Linked DNA regions of Saccharomyces cerevisiae S288C. Changing the gene in region 3 together with the main gene of any one other region gives a genetic interaction. Each region holds a gene or a part of one and is shown on either strand. Other genes may lie near its edges.

Region 1 (4,696 bases), on a different chromosome or scaffold from region 3:
ATTAAGGCCTGACCAATGGCAAGGACTCTTCTATCAGTTGGAGTTCTCAAGGCTTCATCAAGTTGATCGCCGAATTCAGTAGAACCTTGGAATCCCAATAATGATGGATCCACCTGTCTTAATGCTTTTTGAAAGGCTTCTTCATAGTTTCTACCAATAGCCATAACTTCTCCAACTGATTTCATAGAGGAACCAATGGATCTGTCCACGTATTGGAACTTAGAAAGATCCCACTTAGGTATTTTTGCCACAATATAATCCAAAGATGGCTCAAAGTTAGCCACTGTAGTTTTTGTGATTGGGTTTGGCAATTCTGGCAAAGTATAGCCTAGCCCAATTTTGGCGGCAGTGTATGCTAAGGGATAACCAGTGGCCTTAGACGCCAATGCAGAGGAACGAGATAAACGTGCGTTCACTTCAATAACTCTATAGTCTAGCCCATCAGGTTGCAAAGCGTATTGGACATTACATTCACCAATAACACCAAGGTGTCTAATGATTTTAATTGCGGCGGATCTTAACATATGAAACTCTTCATCTGATAGGGTCTGCGAAGGAGCAAAAACCATAGAATCACCAGTATGAACACCAAGTGGGTCGAAATTTTCCATATTACATACTGTAATACAGTTACCAACCCTATCTCTGACCACTTCATATTCAACTTCTTTCCAACCTTTCAAAGATTTTTCAACAAGAATTTGTGGGGCCAACGACAAGGACTGTGCGGCAAGTTCCTTCATTTCACTTGCATTGTTAGCGAAACCTGAGCCTAACCCACCCAAAGCGTATGCAGATCTGACAATAACTGGGTATTTGACCCTTTCAGCAGCCTCCAAAGCTTCATCCACGGTTTCACAAGCAAATGATTCTGCGATGGGAATGTTGATATCCTTTAACGCAGATGCGAAAAGATCCCTATCTTCAGAAGTGATCAAAGTTTTGATAGGAGTACCTAAAACTTTGACGTTGTATTTAGCCAAAACACCAGATTCATCCAGAGCCACCCCACAATTTAGACCTGTTTGACCACCGAAGGTTAAAAGTATAGCATCCGGCCTTTCAAGTTCAATGATATATGTGATGTATTCTGGTGTAACGGGCAAGTAATAAATCTTGTCCGCCAGGGAATGAGAAGTCTGGTTAGTAGCGATATTTGGGTTAACCAATATAGTAAACTTGTTATCTTCCTTCAGAGCTTTGATAGCTTGAGAACCACTGTAATCGAATTCACCAGCTTGACCAATAGAGAGCCCTCCTGATCCAATGACAAGTACAGAATTTACTCCTTCAACTAATTGAGGTTTGTAGTCCTCGGTAGTAAAAGCAGAATTCGTAGGCTCTGTTGATGTATAAATCGATGTCATTCTTTTCTTCCTGTCTATGTACTGTATTGCTCTTCCTTTATAGAACTAATTTTAACTATAGATGTTAGTTTTTCGATGCTTAAACTTAAATAGCGCTTCAAAAAAGAGATAAGGCATACTATAGAAGACGTATTAGTAATTATATATATACAAATAGCATGGCAGAAATGCTTATGACGGAAAAAAAAAGATTGGATTTTCTCGATGCTTACTCAAGGTGACACAATCGTTACGACATGGAGGTTCCTATCTCTGATATTCAAAAGTTATTGCCATCTCATCAATAAGAGTCATTCACAATAATCTATAGAATGCCGCAGGAAAGAAGACAGTGGTGGATGAGTCATTTTCTCAACCCTAGTTTACAATCTGAATGTTTAGGGGATTTACTATTTTTAATTAGGACATTTGAATATTTCTGATAGGGTAAAATCACTTTTTAGGGTTTCTGATTTTCTATTTTCCTCATTTTTCACAATAATAACAATGTTGCCATTCTTTTATCACTACCCTAAATGTACCAAATATTAGTAAGAAAAGAAACATTATAAAGAAAAGGAGGTTTTACAAGGGTCACTTGGTGAGATTAGGTCGTCGTTATTATTTTTATTTTGTGGGCGGGGTGTAATAGTGCTAAAAAGAGGGAAAAGAAATAGTATACCATTCCGCAAAGATGGAGTACATCAAGATTGCCAAAGTATCTAATGTAGTGCTGCATAGAAGAGGTACGGCCACACAAGGTACTTTACATTTGACTACTCACCATTTGATCTTTGAGTCACCACAATTGTCGACGGAATTTTGGTTTCCATATCCTTTGATCTATGGAGTGCATAAAAACCCGGGTAGTACATTACTGTCCAAGTTGACTTCCACTAATCAAATCCAATTGGAGGGAACGGATTCACAGAATTACAAGCTTTACCAGGGTAAGGATCTATGGTCTTTTGTAAATATCAAGGTAATTGGGAAAGATTATGCGGTATTCTCATTGGATTTCGGTGGTGATTTACATCTACAGGCAAGAAAGGTGTATGATTCCATCTTAAATTTGACGGTCCTGTCCAATATCACGCAACTATATGCATTTATTTACATATCCAACAATCTGGAAAGGAAACTACCTTCACCCGATAGCTGGGATATATATGACCCAATTAAGGAATTTCGAAGGCAGGGCCTCGACAGTAAAGATGAAACATGTCCTTGGAGGCTATCCACGGTAAACGAACACTATGAATTTTGTCCAACGTATCCCTCAAAACTTTTTGTACCAAGATCCACGTCAGATATATTATTGAAGCATGCTTCGAAGTTTAGATCACAGAAAAGAATTCCTGTTTTAACTTATCATCACAAGGCAACAGATTGCAACATTCTTAGGTCATCTCAACCATTACCGGGGTTGATCAATCAGAGGTCCATTCAAGATGAAAAATTAGTTTGGGAAAGCTTCAACTCATTTTGTAATAAAGATATTAGAAGAACGAAACATGTAATAGTAGATGCCAGACCCAGAACAAATGCATTAGCACAGATGGCGTTGGGTGGCGGGACAGAAAATATGGATAATTATAATTTTTTTTTAGCTGATAACAATATGGGTGTCGATAAAAGTCTAAAACTGCCCACAGTTACACGGTTATTTCTTGGTATAGATAACATTCATATTGTTTCCAACACAGCTGCATACATGACGGAAGTTATCTGCCAAGGTGGCGATTTGAATTTACCACTGGAACAGAATTTAATTAGGAGTCAAAAATTTTCCAATTGGTTGAAGTTGAACACTCTTATTTTAAAATCCGTTGATATGCTTTTAAAGTCCATCATTTTCAATCATTCCAACGTTTTGGTTCATTGTTCTGACGGTTGGGACAGAACCAGTCAAGTTGTATCACTATTAGAAATTTGTTTGGATCCTTTCTATAGAACTTTTGAAGGTTTTATGATCCTAGTGGAAAAAGATTGGTGCTCTTTTGGTCACCGGTTTTTGGAAAGAAGTGGTCATTTAAACTCTGATATTAGATTTCATGATAACACTATGCATTCCAACTTCAACGATGTGGATACCAATGGCGATGATCTTGACATAGGTGTTAACACTCAAGACGATTATGCTGAAGATGATGAAGGAGGTGAAGATGAGACGAATTTAATTAATTTGAGTAGAATTTCCAAAAAATTTAACGAAAACTTTAAATTGAACAAGAAAAGTCTAAAGTTCGTCTCCCCAGTTTTCCAACAATTTTTAGACTGTGTATACCAACTTTTGACGCAAAACCCAGATCTATTTGAATTCAACGAAAGATTTTTAAGAAGACTAGTTTACCACTTGTATTCATGCCAATATGGAACATTCCTTTCCAATAGCGAGAAGGAGAAATTTCAACAGAATTTGCCAAACAAGACTAAAAGTGTCTGGGACTACTTCAGATCTAGAAGAAAGCAGTTCATAAATCCAAATTTCATACAGAGAAAAAGAAGCGGCATGAATGAGCACGATCAAAACCTTGAAGAGGAAGAAAAAGTGGAGTGGATTTCGCCGGATCTGAAGAAAGTCCAATGGTGGTGGCAGTTATATGGAAGAAAAGATTCAGAAATGAATGATGAATTACGCCATAAACGAGACTCAGTACCCATATCGGTGGATAAAAAGAGTAAAGAGCATAGTAATTCCGATGGCGGTAAGGGTTTAAATTTGTCAATTTTTGGATTTGATATGTTTAATAGAAAGTGATCTGGTTAACGGCAAAGAAGACAAATAAGTGAGTTAGTATTTTGCATACAATGATAGAAGTATAGAAAAGTTCAAGCATTTCTCCGTTGTTAGTATACATATATATATATTAATTTTAATGAATAAGGGTACATATATTATGAGCATAACGAGTGGCCGATCGGCAAAGGGGCTTACAATTTTACAACACCAGATTTCCAACTAACACCACACCACTGAGATATTAGTATAGCCAATCCTCTCACTGCCTCCACAGTTTCCTTATCACAACCAATATTCAAGGCACCTTTCAAATGCCCACGCAATTGAGGATTAACATCTTGTGGAACCAAAGAAGCAATTATCACTAAACTTGTCTCTTGCGCAGATAGTATCTCATCAAAGGCAAACAAAGGGCCATATACATGGACCAGTGTATAATACCATAAGTCTGGGTACGAAGAGTTTAGATTGTTTACCACGCGGGTTGAGACTTTGTTGTATATTGAATTCCAATGCCGTAAGCCGTTCTGTATGGTATGATCTCTTTCCTGGATTGTCTTGTCATGCTTCCTTCTCATAGAGGTTTCCGAAAGGGGAGAACTGTTTC
Region 2 (5,931 bases), on a different chromosome or scaffold from region 3:
TCAATGTCTTGTCCAATCTAGAGAACACTTGATTAAGAGAACGGTGGAAGCATTAACAGGTGCTAAAAAGGCTACTATACATACTTACTTGGCAACAAGTGATATGTTCCGTGAAATTGTTTTTAATATGTCTAGAGAGGAAGCTATTTCCAAGGCAGTAGAGGCCACCAAACTAGTTAGGAAACTAACTAAGGATGACCCTTCCCAACAAGCCACTCGTTGGTCCTATGAGTTTTCCCCCGAATGTTTCAGTGATACTCCAGGTGAATTTGCTGTAGAAATTTGCGAAGCTGTTAAGAAGGCTTGGGAACCTACCGAGGAAAATCCAATCATTTTCAACTTACCTGCTACCGTAGAAGTTGCCTCTCCAAATGTTTATGCTGATCAGATTGAATACTTCGCTACCCATATTACTGAGCGTGAGAAGGTTTGCATCTCTACACATTGTCACAATGACCGTGGTTGCGGTGTCGCCGCCACAGAGTTAGGTATGCTTGCAGGTGCCGACCGTGTAGAAGGATGTCTCTTTGGTAATGGTGAACGTACAGGTAATGTGGACTTGGTTACTGTTGCTATGAATATGTATACCCAAGGTGTTTCTCCTAATTTGGATTTCTCTGACTTGACCTCTGTCCTAGATGTGGTTGAGCGTTGTAATAAGATCCCAGTATCGCAAAGAGCACCATACGGCGGTGACTTGGTCGTTTGTGCCTTTTCCGGTTCTCACCAAGACGCCATTAAGAAGGGTTTCAACTTACAAAACAAGAAGCGTGCTCAAGGTGAAACTCAATGGAGAATCCCATACTTGCCATTGGATCCAAAGGACATTGGCCGTGATTACGAAGCTGTCATCAGAGTCAACTCTCAGTCTGGTAAAGGTGGTGCCGCTTGGGTTATTTTGAGATCTTTGGGTTTGGATCTACCAAGAAACATGCAAATCGAATTTTCTAGCGCCGTTCAAGACCATGCTGACTCCTTGGGTAGAGAACTAAAATCAGATGAGATTTCCAAGTTATTCAAAGAGGCTTACAACTACAATGACGAACAGTACCAAGCTATTAGTTTAGTCAATTATAATGTTGAAAAATTCGGCACTGAACGTAGAGTGTTCACTGGTCAAGTCAAAGTAGGCGACCAGATCGTCGATATTGAAGGTACAGGTAATGGTCCAATCTCTTCTTTGGTCGACGCCCTATCAAACTTGTTGAACGTGAGATTTGCCGTAGCAAACTACACAGAGCATTCTCTAGGTTCTGGTTCTTCTACGCAAGCTGCTTCTTACATCCATCTATCGTATAGGCGTAATGCCGACAACGAAAAGGCCTACAAATGGGGTGTAGGTGTCTCCGAAGATGTCGGTGATTCTTCAGTGAGAGCCATCTTTGCCACCATTAACAATATTATCCATTCTGGTGATGTGTCCATTCCATCTTTGGCCGAGGTCGAAGGTAAGAATGCTGCGGCATCTGGCTCTGCATAAGAACTTTTCTGTATTTCAGGACTTATTCGCTTCTATTTATTTCTATACTTATTTATTTACTTCCTTTCCTTTTTTTTTAACCATATAATTACTAGAAGCACGGATGTCTAAATTAGAATTACGTTTTAATATCTTTTTTTCCATATCTAGGGCTAGTGCTTGTTTTTCTTTTTTTAGTATATTCTTGAACCAAATACGTGTGGGGTGACCCGAAACTTGTTTGGCGGTTAGTGACGAAATTGAAACAAACCTGGAGTTATTAAGAGAGATTTAACTGGAAAACTAGGCATAAAGGACAATAAGTACTCGCTTCATATAGTCTCAACATATTTTTGTTCGCAGAATTGGTGACAAAGGCCACGCAAAGGCAGCAGAATCAAAAACAAATACTCAGTAGCTATGAAAATACTCCTATCGAAACAGCAAACTAGAAAGATAGCAATAGTTTCAGAAACACATGGACTGGTATTTAGGCCAATAAACAGTAAGAACTCTCGCAGATCTACATGTGCCGTGGAATTGGTTCCGAAAGCTGAATTAAATGGTAATGGTTTCAGAAGACTATCTAACCATGAAATATACGGTTTTATTGGTCTCATAGAAATTGAAGGCCTTATGTTCATAGCAACCATAACAGGTAAATCTAAGGTGGCCCAGCCGATCCCAAACAAAACGGTTAACAAAATATATGCTGTGGATTTTTTTTGCTTAAATAATTCTAAATGGGATTTCATGGACATCGATTCATCCGGTTATCCGATTGTTACTAATGATGGAGATTTTGCAATAAGCTCGCCTCCTAGTATTTCCACACATTCTTCTAGATCATCGCTACGTTCTTCTTCCTCTAGGAGTTTGAATGCTCAAGAACAAGCTCCCAAGCATCCATGTCATGAACTAAGAAAGCTATTATCAAATGGATCTTTTTATTACAGCACCGATTTTGATTTAACTTGTACATTGCAGAAACGTGGATTCACGGAACACTCTTTGAGTTTTGATGATTTTGACCGGGAGTTTATGTGGAACTCGTTTCTTATGGACGAAATCATCACATACAGAGACAGACTAGATGTAACGGCCAAAGAACTATTGGATCAACGAGGATTCCTCACGACCGTAATCCGAGGGTTTGCTGAAACAATTTTTAGCTATATTAATAGGTTGAAAGTAGGACTTACCATTATTTCCAGGCAAAGTTGGAAAAGAGCAGGCACAAGGTTTAATGCACGTGGTATAGATGATGATGGCCATGTCGCAAATTTTGTTGAAACAGAAATGATTATGTACTCTTCTCAGTATTGTTATGCTTTCACGCAGATAAGAGGAAGCCTTCCAATTTTTTGGGAGCAGGATACATCTTTGATTAGTCCAAAGATTCAAATTACCAGATCTGTTGAAGCAACACAGCCCACGTTTGATGAACATTTTATAAGACTATTTAAGAAGTATGGGCCAGTTCATATAATCAACCTGCTGTCTACTAAATCTTCAGAAATTCAATTATCGAGGCGATACAAGGAACAGTTGAAAAATTCTGAGAAAATGAAAATCGGTAGAGATGTGTTCCTAACAAGCTTTGATTTCCATAGAGAAACTTCGCAAGATGGGTTTGCAGCTGCAAGTAGGATTATCCCTAAAATAAGAAACACAATTTTGGACGCCGGTTACTTTTCATACGATGTAAAAGAAGGGCGATTAATATCCGAACAAGACGGTGTCTTTAGAACCAATTGCTTGGATTGTTTAGATAGAACAAATTTGATCCAACAGACGATTTCACTGGCCGTTTTCAAACTATTTTTGGAAGACTTCCGATTGGTAAAACCCAGTAGTTTCATCGACGATAATGAATTTGTGCAAAAGGTGAATGCTTTATGGGCCGACAACGGAGATCAGATATCACAAATTTACACTGGGACAAATGCTCTGAAATCGTCCTATTCAAGGAAAGGTAAAATGTCTTTTTCTGGCGCCCTTTCTGATGCGACGAAGTCCGTTAGTAGAATGTACATCAACAATTTTGTAGATAAAGGAAAACAGCAAAATATTGACACACTTTTGGGCAAACTACCGCACCAGCAAGTTGTTGAACTTTATGATCCAATCTGCGAATACGTCAATGAAAGGCTGTTAGAGTCAGAGGAAAAATTCACCACTCATTCTAACATAAATTTGTTTGTCGGTACATTCAATGTTAACGGAAACTCTCGAAGAGCAGATTTGTCAAAATGGTTATTTCCAATCGGCGATAAATTCAAACCTGATGTCGTTGTGTTAGGGTTGCAGGAAGTTATAGAGTTGACCGCAGGGTCTATCTTGAATGCAGATTATACGAAAAGTTCTTTTTGGGAAACTATGGTTACTGACTGTTTGAATCAATACGAAGAAAAATATCTTTTACTTAGAGTGGAACAGATGTCCTCTCTTTTGATACTATTTTTTGCAAGATCAGATAGAGCCTATAACATAAAAGAGGTAGGTGGGTCTACCAAAAAGACTGGGTTTGGTGGTATTACTGGAAACAAAGGTGCAGTAGCCATTAGATTCGATTATGGGGCAACTTCATTCTGTTTCGTTAATACACATTTATCAGCAGGTGCGAGTAACATTGACGAACGTCGCAATGACTACAACAATATCTACAGGAACATAACCTTTCCAAGATCAAAGACAATTCCACACCATGATTCGTTGTTTTGGTTGGGTGACCTTAACTACAGGATAACTTTGACAAATGATGAAGTTAGAAGAGAATTAAGGGCTCAAAAGGATGGCTATATTGATAGATTGCTTCAATATGATCAGTTGACTCAAGAAATAAATGAAGGAGTGGTATTTCAGGGCTTTAAAGAACCGACCCTCCAATTCCGTCCGACCTATAAATATGATTATGGCACAGATAATTATGATACTTCTGAAAAGGCGAGAACTCCGTCTTGGACTGATAGAATCATATATAAAGGTGAAAACCTGCATCCATTGGCATATTCGGACGCACCTTTAAAAATAAGCGATCATAAACCAGTTTATGCTGCATATAGGGCAAATGTGAAATTTGTTGACGAAAAAGAGAAGCTTAACCTAGTTGAGAAGCTGTATGCAGAATATAAGAATACGCATCCCGAAGCACTAACTACAGGTCCTGACGAACTTTCTCATGCAAGAATGGAAAAACAAAAGGAAAGTATACCCTTAGATGCAACCGTTCAATCAGCGGGCATAAAACTAATTGACCTAGATGATACTTCCTCGTGCGTTTCGCCTCTACTTTCTGGTCCCAGTCCCCAACCGTCTGTTGTTGGCCCTGGAGGACTCAGTAACGTATCACCCGATAAAAGTAAGCTCAATGTGCTTCCTCCGCCTCCTCCTACCTCGAGGCACAATAAGGAACCATCTTCTAAACTTCTTTCCCCTACCAAAGAGATTTCCATTGTCAGCGTATCGCCGCGTAAAGGTGAGAGCAATCTTCCTGCCTTAGAGAGACACAGTACACCCAAACCACTGCCGCCAGTGCCCGCTTTATCTTTATCTAAGCCAGTCTCTTTACAGAAAAGTTCTTCAGAATTACAGCATGCTAAAGAGACCATAGATAATGGGAAAATTGTTCCTCGACCTTGTCCTCCTATTAGAAGGAAGAGCAGTACTGCCCCGGACGAAATCTCTACATCTACCAAAAATTCAGGTGTGTCCACTACAGAAGATCCTGAGCCAGCAAAGGCCTCCACAAAACCTGAGAAGCCACCAGTTGTCAAAAAACCGCATTATTTAAGTGTTGCTGCTAACAAGCTTAACACCTCTCAAGAACACTCAATAAAAGTTTCCCCGTCGAATTCAAAATCTGAAGAGGAACTCCCTTGCAAGAAAAAGTCTAAACCAAAAGTTCCTGCGAAGAACCCTGAACTAGAGAAGCTAAGCGTTCATCCATTGAAGCCTTGCGACCCCAATTAAATTGTGTTACTAAAATTACGCATTTATAGAATATGTATCATAACTGTTGTTTAGATGTTTATATGACTCTGCACACATTTCGGTTTTGTGAGCGCCGACCTTTCAAACCATGATCTGTATTACTATGGCTGTTATGAAAATACCGTTGTTCCGGGTGCAGTGATCCTAACTTCCGTTAATGGCTTCTTGTTTTACCAAGTTTTCCAGTTTCTGCTTCAATTCGTCAATTTCCTTGTCAACCTTTTCTATGCCGATCTCTATTCTGTCAATTTCTTCCTGTTCTAATTGCTTGGAGTATACACAATCATCAGTTTTGTTTGAAGGTAACAAATTTCCTGGTCGGCTCATTAAAATTTTGAAAAACTCTTCATTTGGCTCATTGAATACAATTTCATCAAAATACACAGAACTAACTTCTGCATCTTTACTATTATGGTCTGTTGTATTCTGCTCATTTCCATTGTCGGAATTCGGTACAGGATTAGCATAAGGATGAAGTC
Region 3 (3,003 bases):
GAGTTACTGAACCTTCAGATCCTACTTATTGTAATGCTTCGCGACATCCAATCCATTTAATAATCAATTTAAAACTAGAGTTGGTAGAGTTCCTTGTTGAACGTGATAACCCAAAAGCATAATACGAGTAATGTTTCAGTATTGCTATTATATGTTTACACAAGGAAAACATATAATAACAAACCTCTAATCCGGTAGTACTTAAGAAACTATAGTTTCTATGTACAAAAAGGTAACTATGTAATTCTTACATTTACATAACATATAGAAGGGTCCAATAAACTTACTAAACTTACTACCTTGTTGTATATAGGCTAGATCGTAATCCACTACGTCAACATAAAAAAAACTTAAGGAGTTTGAATTTTATGTACAAACAGATTGTTAAAATATAATATAAGATTATGGAAACGAACTTGCTCTAAAAAAAATTTAAAGTTTTATAAAATCCTCGCACTATCGCTGTTATACATGATGTCCCCAAAGCGTGTACAAATAATTTTGTAGTATTGTATCGGTAATATCATACAAGAAGAAAATAGTTGCAAATCTCTAACCCACTAGTACTTAAAAAAACTGTAGTTTCAGTGCAAAAAAGTTTTAACATTACGTATCTTGTACCCTTTTTATTGCATATAGAAAGGTCAAATAATCCTTCACATCATGAAATATAAGCTAAATCGCATTTCTTTTCGTCCACATTTGCAAACAAAACTTTTCAATAATAATTTTATAAATAGTATCAATATATATATATATATATATATTTATTTGTTTACTTTTTCTATCAGTGTTTTCAATTTTTTATTAAACAATGTTTGATTTTTTAAATCGCAATTTAATACCTAAATATAAAAAATGTTATTATATTGCAAAAACCCATCAACCTTGAAAAAAAGTAGAAACGTTTTATTTAATTCTATCAATACATCATAAAATACGAACGATCCCCGTCCAAGTTATGAGCTTAATCTTCCATAAAAATATTTGAAAGCAATAGATCATGTACTAAACTAAAATCAGGGAAATTAAGACTCCTTTTGAAGTAATACCTATTACTTACTAATACGTTTGAGAATAAGCGCAGGTACTCCTGGTTTTTGTTAAAACTACAAATTTATACTTAGCATTACGAAGATTCTCGATTCCGAAAAACAAAAATTTTATCGTCATATACAAATCTAGAAATTACCAGAGCTATCCATCTTGTTCAAGAAGGTAGGCGAGGACATTATCTATCAGTACAAACATCTTAGTAGTGTCTGAGGAGAGGGTTGATTGTTTATGTATTTTTGCGAAATATATATATATATATATTCTACACAGATATATACATATTTGTTTTTCGGGCTCATTCTTTCTTCTTTGCCAGAGGCTCACCGCTCAAGAGGTCCGCTAATTCTGGAGCGATTGTTATTGTTTTTTCTTTTCTTCTTCTATTCGAAACCCAGTTTTTGATTTGAATGCGAGATAAACTGGTATTCTTCATTAGATTCTCTAGGCCCTTGGTATCTAGATATGGGTTCTCGATGTTCTTTGCAAACCAACTTTCTAGTATTCGGACATTTTCTTTTGTAAACCGGTGTCCTCTGTAAGGTTTAGTACTTTTGTTTATCATATCTTGAGTTACCACATTAAATACCAACCCATCCGCCGATTTATTTTTCTGTGTAAGTTGATAATTACTTCTATCGTTTTCTATGCTGCGCATTTCTTTGAGTAATACAGTAATGGTAGTAGTGAGTTGAGATGTTGTTTGCAACAACTTCTTCTCCTCATCACTAATCTTACGGTTTTTGTTGGCCCTAGATAAGAATCCTAATATATCCCTTAATTCAACTTCTTCTTCTGTTGTTACACTCTCTGGTAACTTAGGTAAATTACAGCAAATAGAAAAGAGCTTTTTATTCTTGATTTTTGTTCTTTCGGGGAAACTGTATAAAACTTCCAAAAAGGAAAAGTAAAACAATACATCTCCTTATATCAAAGAAAATCAAGAAGGACAACATGGATGATATTTGTAGTATGGCGGAAAACATAAACAGAACTCTGTTTAACATTCTAGGTACTGAGATTGATGAAATCAATCTCAATACTAATAATCTTTATAATGTATGTTTTCATTTCAAGGATAGCCTTTGAATCAATTTACTAACAATACTTCAGTTTATAATGGAAAGTAATTTGACTAAAGTAGAGCAACATACATTACACAAAAATATTTCTAACAATAGGTTAGAAATATACCACCACATTAAAAAAGAGAAGAGCCCAAAGGGAAAATCATCAATATCACCCCAAGCACGGGCATTTTTAGAACAGGTTTTTAGAAGAAAGCAAAGCCTTAATTCCAAGGAAAAAGAAGAAGTTGCAAAGAAATGTGGCATTACTCCACTTCAAGTAAGAGTTTGGGTATGTAATATGAGAATCAAACTTAAATATATCCTATACTAACAATTTGTAGTTCATAAATAAACGTATGAGATCTAAATAAATTCGTTTTCAATGATTAAAATAGCATAGTCGGGTTTTTCTTTTAGTTTCAGCTTTCCGCAACAGTAAAATTTTATAAACCCTGGTTTTGGTTTTGTAGAGTGGTTGACGAATAATTATGCTGAAGTACGTGGTGACGGATATTGGGAAGATGTGTTTGTACATTTGGCCTTATAGAGTGTGGTCGTGGCGGAGGTTGTTTATCTTTCGAGTACTGAATGTTGTCAGTATAGCTATCCTATTTGAAACTCCCCATCGTCTTGCTCTTGTTCTCAATGTTTGTTTATATACTCATATTTCTATGTGTTTATACAATTGCTATTGTTTATATAATGTAGTGACATTTTCTCTTAATCTTATACTAATTTCTATGACATTTATATAAGAAGAGACTTATGATCAACATAATTTTGCAAACTTTGAGAGAAATATGTCTTTCTACTGCGATAAAGTTATTATTTAGATTACATGTCACCAACATTTTCGTATATGGCGATATAATTTATCATG

The links.
Region 1: of HMRA1 (region 3) and YMR1, extra expression of one rescues a mutant of the other (dosage rescue), as found in Saccharomyces cerevisiae (one study listed by BioGRID).
Region 2: of HMRA1 (region 3) and INP52, extra expression of one rescues a mutant of the other (dosage rescue), as found in Saccharomyces cerevisiae (one study listed by BioGRID).

The regions. Positions count from the first base shown.
Region 1 is NC_001142.9:631,575-636,270, forward strand, and holds YMR1 (phosphatidylinositol-3-phosphatase YMR1), read left to right. Parts: upstream 1-2,040; coding exon 2,041-4,107; downstream 4,108-4,696. Other genes in the region: carbamoyl-phosphate synthase (glutamine-hydrolyzing) CPA2, read right to left, coding at 1-1,367; PXP2 (Pxp2p), read right to left, coding at 4,281-4,696. UniProt on the Saccharomyces cerevisiae protein: Lipid phosphatase which dephosphorylates phosphatidylinositol 3-monophosphate (PI3P). Involved in the control of PI3P-dependent signaling and in the maintenance of endosomal system integrity.
Region 2 is NC_001146.8:420,444-426,374, reverse strand, and holds INP52 (phosphatidylinositol-3-/phosphoinositide 5-phosphatase INP52), read left to right. Parts: upstream 1-1,879; coding exon 1,880-5,431; downstream 5,432-5,931. Other genes in the region: 2-isopropylmalate synthase LEU4, read left to right, coding at 1-1,480; YEATS domain-containing protein YAF9, read right to left, coding at 5,597-5,931. UniProt on the Saccharomyces cerevisiae protein: Dephosphorylates a number of phosphatidylinositols (PIs) like phosphatidylinositol 4,5-bisphosphate (PtdIns(4,5)P2), but also phosphatidylinositol 3-phosphate (PtdIns(3)P), phosphatidylinositol 4-phosphate (PtdIns(4)P), and phosphatidylinositol 3,5-bisphosphate (PtdIns(3,5)P2).
Region 3 is NC_001135.5:291,828-294,830, forward strand, and holds HMRA1 (Hmra1p), read left to right. Parts: upstream 1-2,007; coding exon 2,008-2,112; intron 2,113-2,166; coding exon 2,167-2,412; intron 2,413-2,464; coding exon 2,465-2,494; downstream 2,495-3,003. Other genes in the region: HMRA2 (homeodomain mating type protein a2), read right to left, coding at 1,352-1,711. UniProt on the Saccharomyces cerevisiae protein: Mating type proteins are sequence specific DNA-binding proteins that act as master switches in yeast differentiation by controlling gene expression in a cell type-specific fashion. Silenced copy of A1 at HMR.